3 linked regions of the Oryzias latipes genome follow. The protein of the gene in region 2 interacts with the protein of the main gene of each other region in a pairwise test. Links are inferred from orthologs where the notes say so. Each region holds a gene or a part of one and is shown on either strand. Other genes may lie near its edges. The genes, in order: rab4a, gripap1 and disc1.

Region 1 (4,118 bases), on a different chromosome or scaffold from region 2:
AGCCACATTCCTGGGTGCCCTGCGGCTGAGCACGGCGAGGAGAACGAAGCTGGCGTAACGCAGCGTCCCCATATTGGATTCCTGACCCCATCCTCTCTGGATCTAGCTCTCCTAAGAGTAGAGAAATGGTGCTGATTAATAGAGATAAAGAGAAAACAACCTACAGAGGTTTCATCCCCACTACAGACTTTTGGACCAGCTGGTCCAACACTCCAGACTAGCTCACTGAAGCCCTGAGCTCCACCTGAGCTTGGACTATCCCATTAGGATAAGAAGGGATTTGGAAATTGTGTTTAACAAATGTGGGCAAAGATTAGAACTCCTCACCTGACTCTATTTTATTCAGGATTTTCCGGGCACACTGGACAAAGGCTTCTTCAACATTCTCTCCTGTGAGAGCGCTGGTCTCCAGGAACATTAACTCTGCCACAAACACAGAGTAAGGATGAGAGCAGCCGCTATGAAAACCGCTGATGATTATTCCACACTAATGGCCAGTCAGTGCTAAACAGTAAACCATTGAGTAATTACGTATAATGAAAGTTAACTGTATAGTTTTTAGCTAAGGATTATAAACTTAAGATCGAACCATTTTCCTGAGCGAAGCGTGACGCCTCCAGAAACGTGACCTCTCTGTCAGCATCTAGATCCTTTTTGTTCCCACACAGGATAATTACAATGTTTTGACTGGCCAGCATCCTAGCATCACTTAACCACGTGGTTAAGGCGTTGTAGGTTTCTCGACTGAAGCCACAAAAACAACAAAACAAATGGTTAAGCAGTCAAAGTATACATAATAAAAGAATAACGCACCTCGTCTTACCTGGTGATATCATAGACCAGCAAAGCTCCTGCTGCTCCTCTGTAGTAGCTCCTGGTGACGGACCTGACAAACATATACTGGTTAAAGGGAACATTGTTGACACTTAAGCAAATGCATACCAAATCCATTTAGTAATTATTGCCAATTTAAGACAGAAATGGAAAAAAAAAAGTTGTAGCTGTGCACCGCCGACATCTCTAAAAACGCAACATCCACAATGTAGAAGGAATTTTTAAAGATGTTTAGCTACCTGAAACGTTCTTGACCTGCAGTGTCCCAAATCTGAAGTTTGACCATTTTGTTCACCACACTAATAATCTTGGAGCCAAACTCCACTCCAATTGTGTGGTTGGACTCATCTTTGACTGGAAAATCATAAATATCACATGTAAGTCATATATTTTCAACACCTTAAAATGACCTACTGTTTACAAAAATAAAATGCCCTTTTTTAATCTGATAAAGATTGTGACTGCTTTGCTAAAATCTGTTTAAAAAATAAGAGTCAAACTAAAAATATTCATCAAGATTTGCTTAAAGTCCCACTCCGATCATCTTTTGAACTATTGTAAAAGCGTTTTCAGTAGTTTTTAAATAATGTTTATGCTGTTTTAGCCAAAATTGAAAAAAGCAAACAAACTCTTGTTGTGTTGGACATAGTATCTGCAGAGCGGCAGTAGGTTATTAAAAAATGAATCTTTGAGTTGTGGACGGGACTGGGACCTTTCCCATCTTCCTTTTGTTTACACTCCTCTAGCTTACAGCCCCTCACACCCCCTCAACATTAGTGGTGCAACAAAAATGGCGAGCAATATTAGAGCTATTCAGCTGTACAGTTTTAAGCTAGATGTTAGCTCACACGAGGAAAATGAAGACGTTCATGGATCTATTTGTTTACAAGTGGATGCATCGGATTGAAGCGGAGCAGGGAGCTTGTAGCTCGCCATAGTAGCTTCTATGTCACATCTACAAGCAACTGGTCCTGAATCACAGTGATTTGAATAAAGAAATACTCAGAGATGCAATTTTAGGCTTAATTTTTACATAAATGTCCATTATAATGAGAACAAAATGTCACAAAAATATGTTAAAAACACACAAATAACGACTGTCTTTGAGTGGGACCTTAAAGATATTTAAATAAAAGAGTCGGGCAATTACTGTGTCATTATTATAAAGCTTTTTCTAGTGATTACAACTGAAGCAAACTTACATCTCTTTTCTATGAACTGGTGCAGAAGGCAGGATTTGCCTGTTCCAGCATTTCCAATCACTAGGAATTTAAACAGAAAGTCTGCAGAGGGAACACAGTAGTAACATAGATAAAGCAAACAGGGTTTGAATATGCTGCCTTGTTATTAATAAACTCAACTATTCTTAATTTTTTTTTGATACAGTTGTTGACATGTACACATCTGATGTCTACACTATACAAATCAAGACAAATGTGTCGTAAACAGATCGAACAAAGCCTTATATATATATATTTATTCTTTACTCCCACTAAGATAATTATCATGTTTAATGTTGGTTCAATTGATTGAACAGTTGTAGCATAGTGTAATTTGAGCAATGCCTCACAAAACACAGAGATATCCTATCATCACTTGCGTTTGCAAAAGAAAAGCGGGAGTCTCTTGCTTTGTGTCCTAGTGCTTATCCCGGGAACAATAGCATCTCCTATAGTCACAGCTTCTTGCATTATAAAGCTTTACTAATACACCTGTACCCGGAAGGCAGATTTATTAACGCTGACATTTGAGTTTAAAGGCCAAAACCTTCCTACTCCTCAGTGGCTCGGTTAGCCTGCCAGCTAGCTATTTGTTTACGAAGGGACCTCATCATCCCTTTCCTGCCATCTGTGTGTGAGATTCTAACGGGTATAAAGCAAGACAGCCTCCTTACCGTAAGACTCCGACATCCTCGGTGTGTCAGCTAAGCTGCAAGGCAGAGAAAGGCGAAACTGTTATTTGTTTAGCTTGCTAAGTGATGGAAATAGTCCTGTTGGTGATTTCCTTGGATTCTATGATTTCCTCCTCCAACTTCCTGTACGGTGTGTGTGGGTTTTTTTTCTTCAAAATAAAAGCATTCTGAAATGACACTTATGCCACATAGTCCTCAAACTACCGCGTGGGGGTGATGTTTGGATATGTTCTTATGGTTTCAATTAATGAAAAATAAATTCTCGCCGTTCTAAGTAAATTTTAAAAACAGCCCATTTCGCTGAGAGTTTTATCTATATGTAAATTAATTGGTTTGCATGTTGTGTACAAATTCTCTCTTTTTAACATATTTTTTGGAGGATCTAGGAGGTGGCGCTCTGAATTTACACAAACGTCAACCGAGTCCGTGGTTGTCCAAAGAAGAAGAAACGTAGTTTCCCCCGCTAATCATTAGCCTAGCTGTGGGCATTATTTATCTTAAAATGGCTACATTATTCCCTATTATTAGACCACCAAGTGATAGCAGTCCCGCTACTCCTGGGGCGCACTCCATGAAGGTGATTTTTTTCTACTTTGATAAATATCCATTAGCTGTTGTTTACGGGGAAACATGACGATGTTTTGCTAACAGATAGCTAGCTAGCCAACGGACGTTTCCATTCACTAGGACAACTGTCAGCCACTTTTAGCAAAATCATTTGTTTTCAAATGTGCTCAAATTACTTCCTCTTGAAGTAATTTGCTCCTATTATTCGTGTATTTCTCTATTAGTTTGCAACGTTGAAAAAATATATAAATAAAAAAAAACTAGATTGTGTAGCCATTTAAATATAAAGTGTTGCTAATTTTTTCCCTGTGTAATCCTAGTCAAACTAGTTTTGCACATGTTCCCATTTTCACAATAATACGGAGCCCCTAAAGGGCCATTGATGAAAAAAAAAAAAACTTGAGGAAATTTTTTTTTTTTGAAGTAAAAAAAAATTCTTTGAGCTAAAAATTTTTTTTTTGAAGTAAATAGGAAAAAAAACTAACTGGTGCGCACCAGTTAGTTTCAGGTGCGCACCAGTTAGTATCAGGTGCGCACCAGTTAGTTTCAGGTGCGCACCAGTTAGTATCAGAAGATATCAGATAGTTGACCTGCTTGCTCATTGTGCACCAAGTAGCTACAGTTGTCTTGAGAATGGCTAAAGTTGAGGATATGGACCTTATAAACTTTCTGAAAACACGAAATATTACTGACAATGTCATAATGTCACCTGAAACTAATTGGTGCGCAGCTGAAACTAACTGGTGGGCACCTGATACTAACTGGTGCGCACCTGAAACTAACTGGTGGGCACCTGATACTAACT
Region 2 (3,651 bases):
CCGGTACGGTGAGCTTCCTCCTCCACTGCAGGAGCTGCATCTGAATGAAAGCTACTTTCAGCAGTTCTTCTGTCTCTCTGGGATCCAGTTTGACCATTTGCTGTCCCTCATTGGTCCCAGGAGGGTAGATATTAAATTAAATAACCTTTTTATTATCGTCTCCATGCTAGCAGAGAAACTCCACCCGCTGATCACATCATCATCATGTCAATGGTCTATGCAGAGTACCTTGTTGGTTGACGCTCAGATACTTGTACTCTGGAAACACTGTACAGCGAGCCTTCACTGCTGCTTGAGTGGAGGGTGTTTTTGTGTCAGCCCCAGAGCGTCAAGGCTTAAATCGCGCCACAGGACCTCTCATCTCGTCTGTGCATTGACTCAACATTGGAACCTCTGCCGTGCAAATGCCGTTCAGTACGAACACAGCTGAGGTATTTTAGAGAAGAGTTCACGTTTTCAGCTGAGGTTAGGACCAGGTGATTCCCATTATGATGTGCTGAACCTCAGACTGAAGGTGTTATGGTGAAGTAATGAACATCTCACCTCTCCTGCTTCTTCTTCAACTTGTCAGACAGCTGAAACACAGACAGACAGGTCAGGCTCGAGAAGCAAGAGTTGGTTGGTGGATTGTTAAGGTTCCCTTTACCTTCATCATCTCTTCCTGGAGTTTGGCGACTTCGGCCTGTTTGGACGCCTGTGAGAGGACATGAGAGCAGTTCAGACCACCTTCATCAGCTCAAGCGGTTGTTGTTTGGAGCTTTGTGCCAGTGCCTCACATGTCAGGCATCTGGGTGGGTAAAAGACAGAAGGCGCAGCGGGCCAAAGGTGTGAGGTGTCTGAACTGCAGACACTTGAAAGTGATGATTAATCCCCATGTGGTTATGCCACAAACCTAAGGCACCATAGACACCTCTGAAAGGGGAGTGAGGGTGCATGCTGGGAGTCTGACCCTGAGCCAACAGCGTGAGGTGATGAACATCCCCCATTGCCCATGGGTCAAGTGCCCTTGGACAAGACGGTGACCACGACATTGGTTAAAGGTCAGGCATGAACGGCAGCAGAGCCACTGTCGGTGTGTGGTTGTGTGTGTGCATGGGTGAATGGGACTGGGACTGGAAATCGCAATCAGATCTTTGATTTTAGTCTATAATATTGGACTCATTTGTATGTGAAGATCTGAACTTTGAGACTTTAAACAAGGGAGAAAAGGGGGGGGAAATCCCATTTGTCTGAGAAAAGTGTGTAGTGAGGAGTTTCACAGCATTAAAACATCTGTAACCCTACTTTATGACTTCACCTCTCACAGGTTATTTCACAAGTCAACCCCGGCAAAACACAAAGGCAGCGCTGTATAAACCATTTAAACAATCAATAGTGGGTTCAGCCATGAGGTTTCTGTGCTTCCACAGAAACCAGTGTTATGCTGACTCAGCCTCTCTGACAGAAAAATAAACCAATCTTTATCTGATCGTAGGACATGAGAGGAAACTAAAAACAGTTTGGATACAGGTTGGACCATCTGTTCAGTGGTTCTGGTTTCTTCAGTTCACACTTGAGGTTTCTGAGCTGAAACTTCTCCTGCATCTTTGCTTTAATATATTAGGATGGCCAGCATTTATGTGAATTATTTTATTGTTGTTAGGAAAGTACACCAGTACTGGTAGAAGCCCATCATCCGTTCTGCCTGAAAGGAACATTTCACAGATTCATAAGGCTCCTTTGACCATGAGGCCCGGATGTCTGGGTTTACACCCTTAAAGGGAGTGTCTGTTTCTGTCAATAGCTAAATGTTAGCTTAAAGATTCTTCTAATGGGATACTGGCATACAAAAAGGATTTTAGTACAATAAAACGTTTTTAATGTCACAGTAAGATGTCGGCTGCAGCCTTAGTGACAGGCCGGAGTCATGACAGTTTTTGAGCACGTCTGGAATTTGTTGACCGTTTAGTTGCAGGAATGTAACATCGATTGCTGAGACAATTCCTTGGAAAATTCAAGCACTAAGTTGAATGAAAACCTAATTTGGTTTATTTGCCTCCAAGCCTTCTTTGTGTATTGAATGGTCCCACTTAAATTTCTTCTCAGCTTCACACGCAGGTCATCTGTGTCCCACCACATCTTAACCGATGGTCACATGACAAGGAAAAAGTTTGTTTTATTGGGAAACTATAGACTGTAAAATGGAAAAACAAAGGAAGATGTGAAACAGGACGGTGCTAAAAAGTGGAAAAACAGAACCATGAATGCATCACTACAACAATAATACCACAGCATCCAATGGAGAACATGGAGCTGTTTTAAAGTCCCACTCTAAACATCTTTAAATCGTTCCCAATGGACTTCTAATTATGATGATGCTGTTTTTAGACCAAATCAAAAAAAGGGTGTGGTTTTCTAGGACATAGTTTCTGCAGGGCAGCAGGAGCTCATTAGAAATTCACCTCCAAGTTGTGGGCGTGACCGCTGGCATGGAACAACACCGCCCCCTCCCCCCTCGCTGTTACTGGTGGCTTTCCGTTTACGTGCTCTCCTGCTAGCTTACATCCCCTCACACTCCCACCCAAACATTACCGGTGCAAAAAAGGCAAAGCAATATGGTAGCTTTGCAGCTGCACAGTTCTGATCCAGATTCCAGCTCAGACCAGGAAAAACAAAGACGTTCAGGGATCTATTTGTCTGACGGTGGATGCATGAGAATGGGGCAGAGCAGGGAGTTGGGGCCATTGGCTGCATACAAGATCTGGACTGAGTGACCCCGCCCCCTGGCGATCCAAACAGGAAGTACCTGCTGGCTCCAAGAAGCCAAAATCCCATAGACTTCTATTGGTCAGAAGAACCATTCTTGATCTGATATTTTCTTATCATGTTTTTGCTCATCCTAATGTTTTTCATGATGCTTAATCAGATGTCTCAATAAAAGCATGTGGTGCCTGCTGGCCCCCACCTCCAACGTTCAAACCGTTTGAGATTCTACCGCTTTCAGTGGAAGGGGTGCAGACTTCCAACAAGCTCACTCATAGAAACACTGATTCTACGAGCTGGGGAAAAAAAAAAAAGAGTATTTTCTAAGTCATATAAAAGCTCTTTTACCAACTGAATTTTTTCATCTGCTTCTGATTCACAAAGATTTGAATAAAGAAATACCAGAAATGCAATTTTTAGTCTAATGTTCTTTATAAATGTTCTCCATCTTCAGACAAACACGTCAAAAACACCATTTTCATCAGAGTGGGTGAATGTATGAATGTCATCAACAGCCAGGATCAGTCAGCACAGCCCCATGTCATTTTCACCCTGGTGTGTGACTGTGTGAGAGTGTGTGTGTGTGTGTGTGTACCTCCAGACTGTGGATCTGCTCCTTCAGCAGCCTCTTCTCCTCCTGCTCGGTGTTCAGTGCCATCTCCAGTTCTGGTCCAAAGCAGTGAGTTATTGGACAGAGTGCAGCCGACCAGCCTAGCGCTGCCTGCTTACCTACACTCCTCTCTATGCTCTTCTCTGACAGGCCTAAAGAGGGCGCCGCACACAGCAGGGGCAGTCTGTTAGGCCAGACACACACTACAATGCTGCAGAACTGATCAGAGACCAGGCTTTTCACACAGATCTGCAGTCAAACATCCCCTTTGGAGCATTCAATAACAGCTCCTTCATCTG
Region 3 (3,651 bases), on a different chromosome or scaffold from region 2:
CTGGAATCTCCCCAGATCGTAATCCCGTTGAGAACTTGTGGTCAATCCTCAAGAGGCGGGTGGACGAACAGAAAGCCACTAATTCTGACCGACTCCAAGAAGTGATTCTGAAAGAACGGGCTGCTATCAGTCAGGATTTGGGCCAGAAGTTGATTGACAGCATGCCCAGTGGGAGTACAGAGGTCCTGAAAAGAAGGGCCAAGACTGCAAATACTGACTCTTTGCATAAATGTCATGGAATTGTCCATAAAAGCCTTTGAAATGTATGAAGTGCTTGGAATTCTATTAACTCTGAGAAAACTAAAATTTGTGTCCATGACTGTAGACTAAATAGAACAATGCCGACTGACATTCTGAAAAAAATATGTAAGGAGATTTGTGGGGTAAAATTAGAATTTATCAATAGGTCAAAATGTTTCCACCGGAAGAAAAAGAAGGTGTAAACAAAATATTAAAGGTGGGAGTGATGTTGTTTGCCTGTTACCTGCCCCCGCCGCCCCCTATTACCCCCTTTGACCCACCCTCACTGGCTGAACGGTTGCTGTACGCCCCTCAATCTCCCCCTTTTGCCTCCACCACCCTGGTCAGAGCTGCATGGGACAAATTCGCGTTTTCTTTCAAAATGGCGGCTTATCTGTTAGTTTTATCTCCGTAGCAACCATTTACGTTTTTGGTCGCCTAGGGTTGACAAACAGGTCTGTGTAATATTTTTTGAAGTATCAGCAAAAGTACTTTTTCGGATTTCCTTGGCAACTGAAGTTTTTGGTTAACCACGCCCACATTCCTCATATATTCGTAAGGTATTAAATATTGTTTCGTTCAGCTTTAGCCAATGACCATTTGTCTAAAATCTTTAGAATATTTCGGTAAAAAATATGCGATCAACAGGGGAACGCCAAATTTGTGACCTCGCCACGCTAACACAAACTTTAAAACCAACATTTTTTCCCCCGTGAAGCTTCCCGATGACGCTCAAGGAGTTGGGAGGTGATGGCTGCTTGTTTGTTCCAGCTTCTTGAAGAAATTTGCTATTACTTGACTGAAATGCTTTTTTCTTACTGTCTTTTATTAAACTCTCCTTTCATTGCAGATCCAGCGTTTCCCGCCCGTGAGCTCACTCTTCATCTTCCTCCTGTCGCGGAGCTTAACGCCTAATCTCTGTATCAACAGGTGGCAGAGCGTTGGCGACAGCTGGCAGCTCTGGGCGAAAGAGGCATCACCGAAAGCCAGGCTACATGAGAGGAGAGCAGTCCAGGCTGCTGAGCTCTGCAGGTACCGAGGAGGAAGAGGAGGAGGAGGAGGAGGAGGAGGAAGAGGCGATAAGCGGCTGCTTTGGGAATGGAAACTGTGGATGCAGCACCGCCGTCACCCATGGCCCTCCAGCTCAAAGACTGAGTCCAGCTCCTGCTTTAATGGTTAATAAACCAACGGGTTTGAGGAGTGAGGGCGTCCTCGGCCCGGCTGCAGACATCCATCCTGCTCCAGCAACATCCAACCATCTGGGTCTGACCTCAGAGCCTCATGATGAGCTCAGCTTAAGGCTGAGGCCGGCTCCCCAGACCTCAGCAGAAGACTCTTTCACGTCCAGTTTCAGTTTCATTCAGCAATCGCTCAGCTCCAGTCAGAGGACCGGTTCTTCAGCTGCACCACTACAGGAACCAGAACCACCTACCAAAGCCCCCGAAGGACCACAACCCAAACCTGACTCCCAGCAGAACTTCTTAAAGCTCTCGCTTCCTGTCCACTCTTCACCCGGCCACGCACAGAAGGAGGACCTGCCGTCAGGAGGGAGGCTCTGGCGGGAAAGTCAGTGTTACGGTAAAGAGGAGACCTCCCACCTTCTGGACTGCGAGCCCCGTCCTCTGGACGTGGAGGTCACCTCCTCGCTGTCGGTGGATTCAGACACGGCCTCAGCCTCCTCTTTCACCTCCGGTTACGAGAGCGCCACAGCGGGCTTGGAGTCGGGCTGGGACGGCGTGGTGAAGAAGTACGAGGGCGTGCTGCAGGCCTGCCTCCGAAACAACCGCGCCTACACAAAGGTGGGCATAGCGGATCCTCTTGAGGGGGGCAGAGACTTCAAACACATTCACTTTAAAGTGCTGTCATTGCTGAGGGAGAACTCATGTTCTGTAGACTGTTTCAGATCATTAAATCAAATAAATCATGGCGCTAAAGTGCGCTAAAGAGAAAAAGCAATTACATTTAAAGCCGCGAGTGGTGTAGTATGGTTTAGCCCTCCCTCATTGGCTGAGTGGCTGCTACAAGCCCCTCCCTCTCCTTTCATGCCTCTGCCAGCCTAGTCAAACTTGCATGTGAGAAGAAGAAAAAAGCACTTTTTTTCAAAAATGGCGGCTTTTCTATTTGTTTCATCTCCATAGCAACCATTTAGTTATTTGATCGTCCGGGGGGGAGGAACAGGTCGATGTGCATTTTAGAAGGATCGCTAAAAGTAAATTTTTGGGTTTCCTTGGCAACAGAGGTATTTTGTTAGCCACGCCCACATTCCTGATATGTTTGTATCGTATGTCATATAGTTTTGTTCAGCTCAGCGAAAACTTTTCTTCAAAGATGCAGTAAATAGGAAAAATTGCAGAAACAATCTGGTCCTTCAGTCCAGAACGGCTGTGGGACGCAGATAGTTAAAGTTTTGAATCTTTCGGTCCGTGATGGCTCAGGTCAGATGGATGTGAAGGTCATGACAACATTTAGAAACAACCACCTTAAATATCTTGTTCAAAGCTAAGCCCGACAGGAAATGGAATGATGAGCAACAAAGGTCATGGTCTGGCTTTCAAAATAAAACACAAACGTTTATAAAATTAAAGGTTTGGACCATTTGTCATTAATTAAACACATTTAAGTTATTTTCAAAATCTGTGTTAAAAACTGGAAGAAAGTTAAAAAAAAAATCACACTTTTGATTTAAAAAAAAAGAGAATGGAGCAGAGCATAAAGTTATGTTCATAAGTTAAAATCTCCAAAAGCAGCAGAACTTTCTGACAGAATGACGGTCATTGTACTTGTCCCGTTCCCTGTGGGCGGCGTCCTGTGGGCTGATGTCTCCGTCTCTTCTCTCCGCCTCAGATCGAGTCCATGATGTTGAAGCTGCAGAGGCTCCAGCAGAAAGCCGTTCTGGACGACGACTACGACGCAGGTGAACGCCAAACACAACGTTTTAACCCTCTGAATCAAGCGTTTTATGAGGAACGTTTTGCTTGCATGCCATTATTTCACCATTGCGTGTGTTTATAGATTTTCCCATTAAAGTTGTCGGAGTGGAAGGAAGTGTTTGCAGAGCGATTATGACAGAAATCCCAGCTGTCAAAGGACCGTCAAGATTCAAACATTCATCTGTTTAACACTCGTGATCTTTGGGCTCTACTGCGTTATTTAACAACATGGCACAATCCAAACATGTTACATATGATAAAAGACCTGCAGCTAAAAACGGTTTTTGAACCAACCTCACTGAGGCTTGCAGGCGTTTGTTTGAACGGGTCGTCTGAGGCCACGTGTCACTCCGGGTCAGGTCAGGACTGTGACTGGGTCAGAGCAACACTTTGATCCGGAGCGCTGTCATGATCCACTTCCAGCCAAACATCAGTCTCTAAATGGTTTTTGTTTACAATAAAATGGAGGGGTCATGTGGTT

The links.
Region 1: the proteins of gripap1 (region 2) and rab4a interact in binary tests that used the Homo sapiens proteins (3 or more experiments, as listed by UniProt). The link is inferred for Oryzias latipes from reciprocal best matches to the Homo sapiens genes GRIPAP1 and RAB4A.
Region 3: the proteins of gripap1 (region 2) and disc1 interact in binary tests that used the Homo sapiens proteins (3 or more experiments, as listed by UniProt). The link is inferred for Oryzias latipes from reciprocal best matches to the Homo sapiens genes GRIPAP1 and DISC1.

What each region holds. Positions count from the first base shown.
Region 1 is NC_019861.2:24,497,787-24,501,904, reverse strand, and holds the start of rab4a (ras-related protein Rab-4A), read right to left. Parts: upstream 2,879-4,118; 5' UTR 2,745-2,878; coding exon 2,729-2,744; intron 2,118-2,728; coding exon 2,037-2,117; intron 1,189-2,036; coding exon 1,074-1,188; intron 887-1,073; coding exon 824-886; intron 745-823; coding exon 590-744; intron 424-589; coding exon 328-423; intron 112-327; coding exon 1-111. Other genes in the region: phf10 (PHD finger protein 10), read left to right, coding at 3,249-3,323. UniProt on the Homo sapiens protein: The small GTPases Rab are key regulators of intracellular membrane trafficking, from the formation of transport vesicles to their fusion with membranes.
Region 2 is NC_019865.2:32,147,607-32,151,257, reverse strand, and holds part of gripap1 (GRIP1-associated protein 1), read right to left. Parts: intron 3,505-3,651; coding exon 3,472-3,504; intron 3,409-3,471; coding exon 3,338-3,408; intron 695-3,337; coding exon 647-694; intron 576-646; coding exon 544-575; intron 1-543. UniProt on the Homo sapiens protein: Regulates the endosomal recycling back to the neuronal plasma membrane, possibly by connecting early and late recycling endosomal domains and promoting segregation of recycling endosomes from early endosomal membranes.
Region 3 is NC_019873.2:28,418,151-28,421,801, forward strand, and holds part of disc1 (disrupted in schizophrenia 1 protein), read left to right. Parts: intron 1-1,170; coding exon 1,171-2,039; intron 2,040-3,084; coding exon 3,085-3,154; intron 3,155-3,651. UniProt on the Homo sapiens protein: Involved in the regulation of multiple aspects of embryonic and adult neurogenesis. Required for neural progenitor proliferation in the ventrical/subventrical zone during embryonic brain development and in the adult dentate gyrus of the hippocampus.